Linked DNA regions of Drosophila melanogaster. The protein of the gene in region 2 interacts with the protein of the main gene of each other region in a pairwise test. Each region holds a gene or a part of one and is shown on either strand. Other genes may lie near its edges. The genes, in order: CG34334 and Saf-B.

Region 1 (5,250 bases), on a different chromosome or scaffold from region 2:
GAAAAATTTAAGCGTTTTTTATGTGTGAGTGAGACGGCGTGGCAAGAAGTTGTATTGGCAAATCGATTGAAATTTACAAGACTAATAAAATTATGAACAAACCAAAAAAAAGTGTGTGGGCGGTTTGTTGGCGATTGGGCGTGGCAACACGGGTCAGCAAGCTTTCACTGCGCATTTGTCTCTACAATCTGTATTCTGAATCTCAACCTTTTAGCTTTTATAGTTTCTGAGATCTCGACGTTCATACGGACAGACGGACAGACGACTTGTCTCGACTCGGCTATTGATCCTGATCAAGAATATATATACTTAATATAGTCGGAAACGCTTCCTTATGTCTGTTACATACTTTTCAACGAATCTATTATACCCTATTATATATATTATACCCTTATACAAGTTTTGGGCTTACCGTACTTTCGATATGGTTTGTTCTTGATTTTACATCGAATAGCGGTACTTTTTTTCTAAGCGTTCTCTACGAAATACCATTTACCTGTCTTTTGGTAATCGATTGATTGCAGTGGGCTTTTATATTATTACTAACAGATAACCACCTTACATACGATGATTATTTTCTGATATACCTCACAATTCTTTTTTGTGCGGAGCATGGATTTTTATTTTTATTTATTTTAAGCCCAACAATGTTTTTAAATTAGACTGGTATTAATAAGTAACTTTTAAAACGCACGATGTCCATCAAGTCTACATTTGTATTTGAAGTTGGAATGGAATAAAATAGGCATCTGGCAGAGTCCTGAAAATCCTGTCTGGCTTAATCTCGCCTTCCTTTTGCAACATTAGACAGGTCCGCCTATCTAGGGCGAACGCGAATCGCGTCTAGGGCGATGGTAATGCCCGTAGCGCGGCGATGAGCGAGTGTAGGAGCACGATTGCGAACGGTTGCGCCGAGAATAGCGCGATCCCGACATAGAGCGGACGCGAGAGTGGGAGGACCGCGACCCGTATTCCGAGCCGGACGCAGAGCGGGACGGCGATCGAGAGCGTGACGACGAGCCCGAGCGGGACAACGTACGCTGGCTCTGGCGCCGGTTGACTGGCGAGTAACGTCGGTATTGACGCCACGGCGCCTTTAGCATGCTTTCCTGAAAGGCGGACACCCTGATCAGCTTCCCATCGATCTGCCCGCCGTTCATATGCTTGATGGCACTGGCGCAGTCCTCTGGACGTGAGTACTCCACAAAGGCGTATCCGCGTCCCTGGCGCCCTTGGAAACGGTCCATTGGAAAGTCGACTGCCGTCAGGGCGCCGAAGTGACCAAATATCTCGGTTATGTGCTCCTTGGTCACCTGACGCGTCAATCCCTTAATGTGCAGGCGAACATTGCGCACGGGTTGGCGAAATTTGAAGGCGTCCTTTCCGTTTCTGTAGGCCACTTTGTTTACCTCACCCACGGCTCTGTAGCCCCGTCCACTTGCTTCTGCTCCTTCTCCATCCCCTTCACCGCGCCGATGGTTCCACTGGCTGCTGCAATTCCGCCCATTTTGATTTTGAACGCTTTGTTTTTGGCGAGTAGGTTCTGCACCAGCAGACGGTGAAGAGCCACGACGTGGAGGATCGTTGATCTTCGACGACTTGCCCTTGGGGCCTGAGCTGCCTGAGCGGTTCTGCTGAGGACTCTTGTCGTGATCTTTGGCTGTCGAGGGCCTGGCACTGGAGTGCAGCTGGGTGAAACTCGAGCTGGAACTGGTGTGGTTCCCGTGGCCTGAACTGGCGCTTGCGTTAGACCTGACCACCGCTTTCGAAGATGTGCTTGCCACTGAAGTCTTGGGGGCTTGGTAACCCGCCTTGCTGCCCGCGTTATTGGTGACAACCGTCTTTGAAGATTGGCCGGTACTGCTGTCCCCCTTATTTTTTGTGCTGGAGATGCTAGCGCCGCCACTTGAATTGGTTTCGGCCATACCAGTGGCGTTGGCAATCGTCTTTGTAATGGTTATAGTGCTAGACTGGATGATGGCTTGGTTGGTGCCGATAGAACTGCTGGCGGCCGAGGCGATGTTCTGCGAGGTGGAGCTGCGTCTACGAGACTTGCGGTCCAATACCACGCTGCTTGGCTCCCTCATAGGAGTTGGCATGGCGATCGGAGCAGGAATTGGTACCGGAACAGGGGCCGGAACGGGTTGCGGGTGGGGATTGTTATGGGAGCTGGAATGGCTATGGAGATGGGAGTGCGATTGCGAACGGGAGTGGGAACGCGGTTGTGCCTCCGAAACAGACAGGACAGCCGGAATGGGTGCCGGCACGGGCAGCGGAATGGGTGCCGGTATCTGAATGACCCCAGGGGCTGAAGCAGGAGAAATTTTTTCGACAACCTCCTCCTTAACCGTGATAGCTCCCTTGGCGGCGGATATGCCACGACGACTCTTTTTAGCCAAACGCTTGGAAAAGCGTCCGTGATTCGAGTGATGGCAACGGGTGACGTGCCGGCGACGGTGCGAATGACGAGGGTTTTGGTGGCGCCTATGGCGACGATGGTGTCGGTAATGGCAACACGAGTGCTTGGTGCGCTCAAACTTTTTGACGGATCCTTCTGGCTCTGGCTCGCTGTCGCTCGACGAGTAGCTGCTGCTGGTGGAGCTCAAAAAGCTTGTGCAGCTGGACGATCCAGAGGTGCTGTAGCTCGAGTCCGAGTAGCTGGAGTCGCTGCAGTCTGCTTCAGTGCTCTCCGAAGCATTCGAGTGAATTGGTGAGATGTTCCTCATCCGGGAGGAGGGGCCTCTGGCTGGCTCTTTGCGGTCCTTGCGGTCCTTGCGGTCCTTGCGGTCCCTGCGTTCTCTGCGGTCTCTGCGGTCCCTGCGGTCCATGCGCTCCATGCGTTCCAATCGCTCCCTGCGATCTTTCTTGTGCGAATGCATCTCCTTGCGTTCGCGCTTAGTGGCTGGCTCGCCATCGTCTTTTGCCTTCGTCCCTGATACCTTGGTCATTTTCACAAGATTTCACTTTCACTGCGAACAAATATGACGGCCTTCGAAACTATTTTGATTTGATGCTCCGTTACTCACACGTTGGGAACGGCTGCCTTATGAAAATGTAATGGCGTGTAAAAACTTGGTCTGACAACTGTCATAAAAATAAAAGCTGACCAAGCAAAGGCCACTCAATGATAGATAACAACTTTTTTGCTTTGTGGTTGCCACCTTAGGTCACCGCAGTAACGAATTCTCAAGCAATTTAACACTAGACCAGACCACATTAAGGATATAATCGTTGTCCAACACTTCGAAATCAGGGCTGTAACTATCGTCATTCAGGGAAGGCATTCCTATCACCTGTCAACATAATTTAAATATACACAGACAAGAAAAGGAAGGTAGCATCGGTAATACAAAGTTTATATACCCTTCCAGTTACTATACATTTAAATACAAATTTGTTGTATACCAAGTAAAAACACTTTATAATTAAAAGCACCGAAACTATGATCTCTTTATTATAACTAGCAATTAATATGACATATCAAATTTTGATCAAATGAACAATGTCCGTCTGTCTGTCCGTATAAACGTCGGGCTCACAGGAAGTATAAAAGATAGGAAGTTAGTTGTAAGAAAGTGTGCAGATTCGCAGATTAACTTAACCTATATATGTATGTTACGAACTGCCTTCTTTTTTTTAGTGGCAGTGCCCCTAGCTCAGGCTTTTCTCAGGGCGGAGTGCCACACAGCTTGCAACATAGGCATCGATAACTATCGACATCGACTATCGACCCTACATATCTATGATCTCTAAAAAGCAGACAAGCAAAAAAAAGTAGAAGAAAAAAAACGAATTCAATTTACATAAACGACAAAATCTTAAAGTACTGGCACCCAACCGACCTAGGTTGCACGAAGGATTATTGCGGACATCACTCATTATCAACACGTCGGTGTCGCTTCAAACGACTAGGACAGCCCCATCTCCCCAAAGGTGAAGCATTCCGGTATGCTTTCTTGTTTTATTACACATACATATAATTACTGATTAACTCTTACATTCTTTATTTTTTTCTTCAATCACTCATTAGGCAGCGATCACCCTAGATCGTCGACTGCTTTGAAATGGTCAAAATTAGTTGATTTTCTTTCAGATTATATTTCAGAAAGCTGACGATTCTTTAAAAGTGTACCAAATACCAATTACTTTTGGTATGCGGGATCAGTTTCGCTAAGCCAATTGGAATGAAGCACACGCTTTGGGGCTGACAGACTTTACAGTTGGTCAAAGTTGGATATAATTCTGAAAAAATCAACGACACAAAGGCTCACACGTTACATAAATGCTTAAATCAGCTCGAACAAGAGTGAACAAGGTTAGTTATAGTCCAAATATGCTAAATTCAAGCGTAATGCCATACCTGGTAAAATAAAAACTTCGAACACTTGTTTTTACTAAACATAAAAATGCGGGTCACAAACACATTATTTTTATTTCGAACATTTATTTCCTAAAGTTAACATAAGTTGTTAATTGAATTTGTTTTACTTTGTTTAAATTAAAGGTCAATAAACAAATACGAAACGTTACGCCAAATATTTAATGACCACGCGCTGAAACATATGTTTAAACAAGCAAAAACTCTTATGCTAACTCTTATAGGCTCAGACGGATAGTCAGTTAGAGTCAGTTAAAAAAGAAAAAACTGTATTTAAATATTTAAAAATGTGACTTTTGTCCCACTAGAAAAATCATCTGGCCCACTGGCCCACCGACGACAATTCAGACTCGCGATTGACACCGGATTTAGTGACAAATTCAGGTAAGCGTTTCAAAATAATTTACACAAAACAAAGCCTAATGGAATAATATATCCTAGCACCAGCGGTTGACGGCCGTTGAAATAATTGTGGCAGTCGACGTCTTCAGAGTGTCCAGGGAATCTACGGGAGTCAAGGGAGGTTGCCCTGGAAGACTCCTAATCCGAGCAGATTCTGACTCCTTAGTGTAGTGGACAAGCAAGTTACCAAAATACAGATGAATTTTCGACGGCGATGTAGACTGGCTTCACGAAATATTTATGTATTTTCCTGTCTTCCAATGCAATATTGCCGGGGGCCCTATTTCGTCATATTTCTAATCCCCTCCCGATTTGGGTCATTGGACATAATCCGGGCCATTTGAGAGTAATCCCGGAGTGAACCGGGATAATTCAAACGGCCAGATCGCTCAACAGGATTCCCAAAGGGGGCCACTCAAAATCATCACCCTATCGCTGTATCTATCGATAAGGCCTTATCATCGACTCCA
Region 2 (7,364 bases):
CACAACCTTGAGTTACCCACTTATGCTTACCTTATAGTTCTCATGCGCAGAAAAAAGTCCAACTGCCTCACAAGGTGACCCAGGCGTGCTTCTCGTCCACCCATTCGGTGTTCCTGGTGGAGGGCGGCTATGTTTACACCATGGGTCGAAATGCGGAGGGTCAGCGGGGAATCAGGCACTGCAACTCGGTTGATCACCCCACCCTGGTGGATTCGGTTAAGTCTCGATATATTGTGGTTTGTATTATTCTGTGTTAGTTGAGAAATCCCTTCTAAACCGTCGCATGTAGAAGGCGAACTGTAGCGACCAGTGTACCATTGTCGCCTCGGAGGACAACATCATCACCGTTTGGGGTACTCGTAATGGCCTCCCGGGGATTGGTTCGACCAACTGTGGCCTGGGACTGCAGATCTGCACACCCAACATGGAGCTGGAGTTGGGAAATAACACGGCAGCGTTTACAAACTTTCTGGCCTCGGTCTACAAGTCGGAGCTGATACTGGAACCGGTGGATATATTAGCGTATGTTTTCATTTTGCAACAGGGATTTTATTTTTACCTGCATCTCCTGCAGTCTCTTCTCTTCCAAGGAGCAGTGCGACCGTGGCTATTACGTCCAGGTGCATGACGTTTATCCTTTGGCACATAGCGTTCTGGTGCTGGTAGACACGACCACGCCACTAATATCCTCATACGAAGGTGATTACCCGCACCTATAGGTTCAATAAATCCTGCAGATGTAACATAAATGTATGCGCATTTTCAACATAGTTTGATAATACATTTATTGGTTTCCAAATGTAATTTTAAGTTTTAGAACTACAACTAAAGCTCATTATATTAAGAGCAGCGCTCCTGGGCGCTGCTGGAAAAGTCACTCAGGGGGGTGTGTTGGATGTGGGGATGCATGCTTGGAAATTCGAATTGCCTCATTTTATGTAAATGCACATTTCCTAGTAGCGCGACACCGGTCCGCTGTAGCGATCCTGGGCGGGTCGGCTCGCGCCGTACATTCCGCCTGCTCCTCCGCCCCCACTCTGCCCTTGATAGCCGGTTGAACGTTCGTTGTAGCCGCGATCGAAGCGCGCGGGCACTTGCCGCCAACCGTTGTCGTCAACGGGAGCAGACTTTTGCCACGAATTGGTGCTGTGCATATTCGAGGACATGCCGTTGTTGCCGTATGACTTAATTTGGTTGCCGCCGCCGCCACCGCTGCCCAGGTGAGAGCTGCTTCCGCCGGATGATGGCGCCCAGATGTTAACGCTGTTCGAACTGCTGCCGTAGGCTCCACCGCCGCCGCTGGAGTTGTCATAACGCTTGTTACCGCTATAATAAAAAATTAGAATAGTTAGAATCCATCGTAACTAGTTTAATTCTATTGTTAAAACTTTTACAGGCTGTGGGAGTCGTCGCGTCTATAGCTCGATGTGTTGCTGCGATCGGAATCGTTGTAGCGCCCGCCAGTGCCGCTGGTGTTGTTCTTGTGGACGTAGGATCCGGCTCCGCCACCGGCTGTGTTGTTCTTGTGCAAATACGAGCTGCTTGAGCCACCGCCGACAGTTCCTGAAAGTGGCAAATGACGGACTTCATCGCGCTTATAGTCGTCGCGCTTGCTAGAAGAGGAGGCACTATAATCGTTGGAGCGCTTCGTGGGCACGGCAGTATAATCATCGACAGCGCCACGCTTGGATCCAGAAGAACTGCTGTAGTCGTTACGCTTGCTGGAGTAATCCAATCGCTTGCTGGAACTAGAATAGTCATCAAGCACGCGCTTGGTGCTCGACGAGGATCCGTAGTCATCGTGTTTTTTGTCATAGGTGCTGCAAAGACATGATTGTAACTCGCAAGTTATTTTCTGTGGAAGAATACTTACCTGCGGGAGCTGACTAGATTCGTGTCGAATCTCGGTGGTGGTGGCGCATCAAAAATAGCTGTGCGCTTACGATCAGTAACGTCTCCATAGCGGTCGTCGGCACGTTTGCTTACCCCGCGCTTGCCAGGATCATCGCGGGACTCCATGATCCTGTTTGTGTAAATCGACAAGATTGAGAGGAAGAGAGATGGAAGAAATAAAAGAGTTGAGTTAGTAATGCTAGTAATGTCAGTTCTGGAGTGAAGTGGGGGTATCAGACTCAGACTTTAGACTAGGATGCATTTGCCTATCAACGTTCCGCTTAAAAGCAATTTGAGTTGAAGAAACAACGTGGAGGCTGCAACTTAACACGCTAATCACAAGGACAAATGCTTTCCGAGAGAGTATAAAATAAATATATTGGTATATCTGTGTTGTCGCCTCTGCGTTGGCACGAGTGCAACGCATTACGGTCTGTTTTGGTTTTTTTTTTAGCATACTTCATCTGTTGTCGCTTCAGCTCGAGGCGTTCCAGCTCGATTTTTTCTCTCTCCAGCTTCTGGCGCTCGCGCTCCATCCGCAAAAGCTCGGCCTTCTCCCGCTCGAGCCGTTCCCGCTCCACAGCGAGCTTGCGCCGTTCTTCCTGCAGACGTTCCTCTTCGATTCGCTGGCGCTCACGGGCCTCCCGACGGCGACGCTCCTCCTCACGCAGCTCACGCTCCCTTTCCCGAAGGCGCTGGCGCTCGCGCTCCTCACGTATCTTCTGGTAGGACAGCATCTCTCGTTGACGACGCTCGCGCTCCCTCTGGCGCTGCTGAATCTCACGGTCGACGTCGCGTGGATTGCGCCCCGAACGATGATCCTGACTACCCTTTGCGGATCGCTCGCGATCGTGGCGCGGTCTATCCTGGCTTGCCAACGACTTGCCCCGGTCATCGTTGCGACGGCTGCGGGCCCTGTTGCTCTCCTTGCCATCACGCTTTAAATCGCCACCAACAGACTTGCTGTCGCCGTTTCCATCGCCGCCCTTCTTGTCATCGCCACTGTTGGAGCTGGAGCCCTTGCCACTACCAGACTTTTTGCCACTGTCGTCTTCCTTCTTCTTGTTTCCGGCGTCGCCCGGAGCCTTGCCCTTGCCCTCTTTGGAATTCAAGCTGCCGCCAATCTCGTTCTTGGTACGCTCCACCGAAATGATGCGTCCATGCAATTCGGTGCGGTGCAGATTTTCGATGCAACGCGAGGCGTCTGCCGAGGAGGACATGGTCACGTATCCGTAGCAGCGAGTGCCCGGAGTACGCGTATTGGTGACCACCTTGGCCCCAATCACCTTGCCAAACTTGGAGAAGATTGCCTTAAGGTCGCTGGCACGGGTTAAAGTGGACAGCCCAGAAACCCATAGATTTCGCGACAGCGTCGCCTGCTTGTTGTTTGAGTTGGCCCCAGTACCATTGCCAGCACTGGAACCGGATCCCGATTTACTGCCAGCGGCACTCGATGCAGTGGAGGATGTGGCACCACCAGGTGCTGCTGTCGATTTCTCTGCAAGTTCCATGTAAATAATAATATTGGAAGAGAGATATGGTCAGAGCTTTGAGTGGGCTTAACTGGTTAACTGTTTTTGTTTATGATACGTTTTTAAGGGAAGCATTTTGTGAACGCACACATTTTGTAGCTGCTGCAGATGTTGGAGTTTAGAGCACAATCGTAAGATTACCGACAAACTTCACCTAACGAAGCTAAGAGAGTATGAATTTGATTGGGTTGCTGATGAAAATCCATTGCGGCAGCAGGCTCGCTTTTTGCTGAAGGCGTTCAGAGTATAGAGCAGCATATCCAGAGCTGACTGTTTAAATAGCTGTCAGTTTCCATCGTCATCCACAGGTAAGGCCAGCATATCCTAGCCAGGATCGAAATAAGTGATGTAATACAAATCCAGTAGTTATCTGCCGAGAAGAATTAAAAATATCCGCACTTCCCAGCTGCAGTAAGGGAAAGGTGCCATCCATTTATTCTCCAGATAGCCTCATTTTATATTATAGGCCCCTCAACGGAGTATTTGCACATACGCCTATTGATGACCAATGTTATAAACTCCTTGGAGAACATTGGGATGTGTGTTTGATTAGTATGAAGTTTCCGTCGAAGTTAACTGGAACAAACACTAAGATTAACTCGAATTGCTGAATTTAAGATGCATCGCTGCTCCTGAGCCGAATTCTCGCATCCTTGTTGATAAGAGTCCCATGTCCGTGTCCCAACCAAATTCACACTCTCTTGCACGGTCTTTGATACATGTTCCTCAATGGTTTAGTCAATTTTTTCGACCTTAACTGGGTTCATGCTTGGTCTGATCATTCCCAACGCAAGACCATCCGAACACACCATTCTTATTCATGCTAAAACTTTAACTTAATTTACCTTTATCGTCCTTTTGATTCGACGACTTTCCTGAGGACTTTTGTTCACTATTTTCCATAATAATTTATGCACAATCATGTGGCGAAATGAAAAGAAAAAATATATTATGTTATTAGAAGACATGTCACAGAAACGTTTTCAAATCTTACCTAGAGTCCTTCTTATCACCGGATTTCTCATCCCTTTTCTTGGAGCGAGCTCCGTCGTCATTCTTCTTGTCGGCATCCTTCGAGTTAGACTTTTCGGATTTATTGGCCGGTTTGACTGTGAATCAGGATAACTTTTATTAACATATTAGCTTTATTTCTTGTATTTCGTATTTCTTAATCGATTGCATGAATACAAACGCCATGATATTTCTAGTCATGAATTATAAATTTTCTATGGTTTTGAGTGATACTGCAAACATACCAGACTTAATAGATTTGTCGTCGGAAGCCTGAGGACAAAACAAATTGGATTAGAATACATCAATTTAAGGCCAAATAGTTAAAATCACCTCATCGTGCAGCAGCTTCTGCTCGTCCTCCCCAATTGTCAAATTGATTGACTCGTCATTGTCCATATTTCCGGTGTCCCCGGTGTTTTCCTCCTCACCATGGATAATAGCCTTGTCGTCGCCATTGTTCTCGGCTCCATCGTCCTGAGCTTTCCCCTCGGCATCGCCATCACCGCTCTGGGGCTCATCGTCGTACACATGATCCTCATCCTCTTCATCGTCGTCATCCAGGATCACACACTCATCGTCCACATCTCCCACCTGGTCAATCTCATGCCCATCGTCGTCGGCATGATGCGAGTAGTCGTTGCCATTCTGGTAATCATCTTGCTGTTCCACCTTCACCTCCTCCTCATTGGCATCGATGGGCTCTTCCTTGATCACCACCTCCGACTGGAGATCTTTCATGGGCATGGCAAACGGCTTCTTGGCCTTCGCGCCCGGCACAATCAAGTGGGTGGCCGGGTCGAGCCCTTCAGCTCTGAGTGACTTGAAATTAGAAAAAACCAGGCGTTGCTTACACACATTCATAAATCCCCGGAAATTGCATCACTATCTCTATCGCCAGCGGCACTGAACCGCCATTTAAGTTGCATACATATTTGTGGACTTACTTTTTCAAGGCGTTCGATGAGCACCGCCTTGGGGCCGACTGTCTCCAACTCGCGTTTCTCCAGCTCACTCTTTAGATCGCACACGCGCAACTCTGCTATTTTCTTTCCTGCCTCGGGCATTTTACCTTGTTCTAGATCACTGGTCACTTGCTTAACTATTAATTGTCGCTTTTTAAGATTGGAATGAAATTTTCTGTACTTTTTTCCAGTCTCGAAACGTGTGAAAATTCTTTGACAAGTCTCACTGATACACACACAATTATCGAATGACAATCGAAAATGGCGATTACGAAGTTACGTTCTGTTTTTAAAATATTCAATCGATGTCAAGTATCGGATGAACTTACGCATCGTGTATAACTATTTACATTTACAGGTATGGACTTCTTTGATCAATTTGTATTTTCTTTATTTTTTTTCAGTTTTGTTCAGTTTGTATTTTTTTTACTTTTTTCTCAGTTTAGGGTACATAAAAAAAAATATTTTTTTTTCAAAATTTATGTAAAATACCAATTTTGTACAAGTTTCATATAACACCGACATAAGTCACATTAAATTAATAATTGTATTAGAAAATTTGGATAATTAATTTATACCTACAATTTATACACTTCTCTCCTCCGATGCGCAGTAGAGATGGAAAAACATCGATGATTCCTCGAAAAACATCGATGTTTGTGATTTTTCGAAAGCATCGATGATATCGATTTGGCATCGATGTTTCTCCACCTCTATATTGTTCTTGTTTATCCCTTGATTTTGCCGGTATCTGTGAATTCGCACAATGTCGGTGGTTATAGAAACCACGATGGGTGACCTGACCGTCGACCTGTTCATCAGCGAGCGCCCAATTGCCTGCCTAAACTTCCTCAAGCTGTGCCGGCTGAAGTACTATAACTTCAATCTATTTCACACGGTGCAGCAGGGATTCATCGCCCAAACAGGCGATCCGAGTGGAGCTGGAGACGGCGGATCCTCCATCTGGGGCGTGGTGGAGGGTCCGCAAAAGCGCTTCTTCGAGGCGGAGTTCCTGCCCAAGATTAACCACTCCAGTGCCGGAATGCTATCGCTGGTCAGTGCAGGCAAGAATCTGGTGGGATCCCAGTTCTTCCTCACGCTGGGTGAGAACCTAACATCGCTGGACGGCAACCACTGCGTTATCGGTGAAGTGGTGGAAGGTCACGAGGTGCTGCGCAAGCTAAACGACGCCATTGTTGACGACAGCTTCCGTCCTTACCAGGATATACGCATCACACACACTGTTGTGCTTGAGGATCCGTTTCCTAATCCGCGCGGCCTTCAGGCTCCAAGTCGCTCACCTTCGCCCAGTGCGGAGCGTCTGAAGAACGGGCGCATCGCTGCCGACGAGGATATCGATGACACTGATGGCATGACCGCGGAGGAGATGCAGGAGATGCTGGCCGAACGAGAGGCCAAGGCTCGAGCCACAATCCTTGAGATTGTCGGCGATTTACCCGATGCAGACATGGCTCCGCCAGAAAATGTCTTGTTTGTGTGCAAACTCAATCCTGTTACAACCGACGATGATCTGGAGATAATCTTTAGTAGCTTCGGCGTGCTTAAAGGATGTGAGGTGATTCGCGACCGCAAAACGGGAGATTCTCTGCAATATGCTTTTGTGGAGTTCGAGGATCAAAAATCTTGTGAGGCCGCATATTTCAAAATGGATAATGTGCTTATCGACGATCGACGCATCCACGTGGACTTCTCCCAATCCGTTTCAAAGGTCACCTGGCGGGGCAAAGGACGTGGTATTGAGGGCGACTATAGAAAGCTGGATTTTAACAATTTGCGAGACGACAAAGATCACAGGAAACCAAACAATGGCCGGTCCAGAACAGAAGACCATAAGGAGCGCAACAGGACGGAAGATTTTCGAAATAGGATGAGCTCTGCAGAGCGAAGAAAAGCGAGAGAACAGCGACACCAGGAGCAAAGCGAACGAGATGTTCGAAAGAAT

The links.
Region 1: the proteins of Saf-B (region 2) and CG34334 interact in a two-hybrid assay, tested with the Drosophila melanogaster proteins (one large-scale study listed by BioGRID).

The regions. Positions count from the first base shown.
Region 1 is NC_004354.4:22,870,714-22,875,963, reverse strand, and holds CG34334 (uncharacterized protein), read right to left. Parts: upstream 3,153-5,250; 5' UTR 2,949-3,152; coding exon 822-2,948; 3' UTR 597-821; downstream 1-596.
Region 2 is NT_033777.3:24,815,756-24,823,119, reverse strand, and holds Saf-B (scaffold attachment factor B), read right to left. Parts: upstream 5,657-7,364; 5' UTR 5,504-5,656; coding exon 5,384-5,503; intron 5,259-5,383; coding exon 4,770-5,258; intron 4,710-4,769; coding exon 4,682-4,709; intron 4,535-4,681; coding exon 4,420-4,534; intron 4,318-4,419; coding exon 4,271-4,317; coding exon of another isoform or gene 4,257-4,270; exon of another isoform or gene 3,392-4,256; coding exon 2,353-3,391; exon of another isoform or gene 2,024-2,352; coding exon 1,874-2,023; intron 1,821-1,873; coding exon 1,395-1,820; intron 1,327-1,394; coding exon 954-1,326; 3' UTR 770-953; downstream 1-769. Other genes in the region: niki (nimA-like kinase), read left to right, coding at 51-236, 290-522, 575-719; CG5808 (uncharacterized protein), read left to right, coding at 6,168-7,364.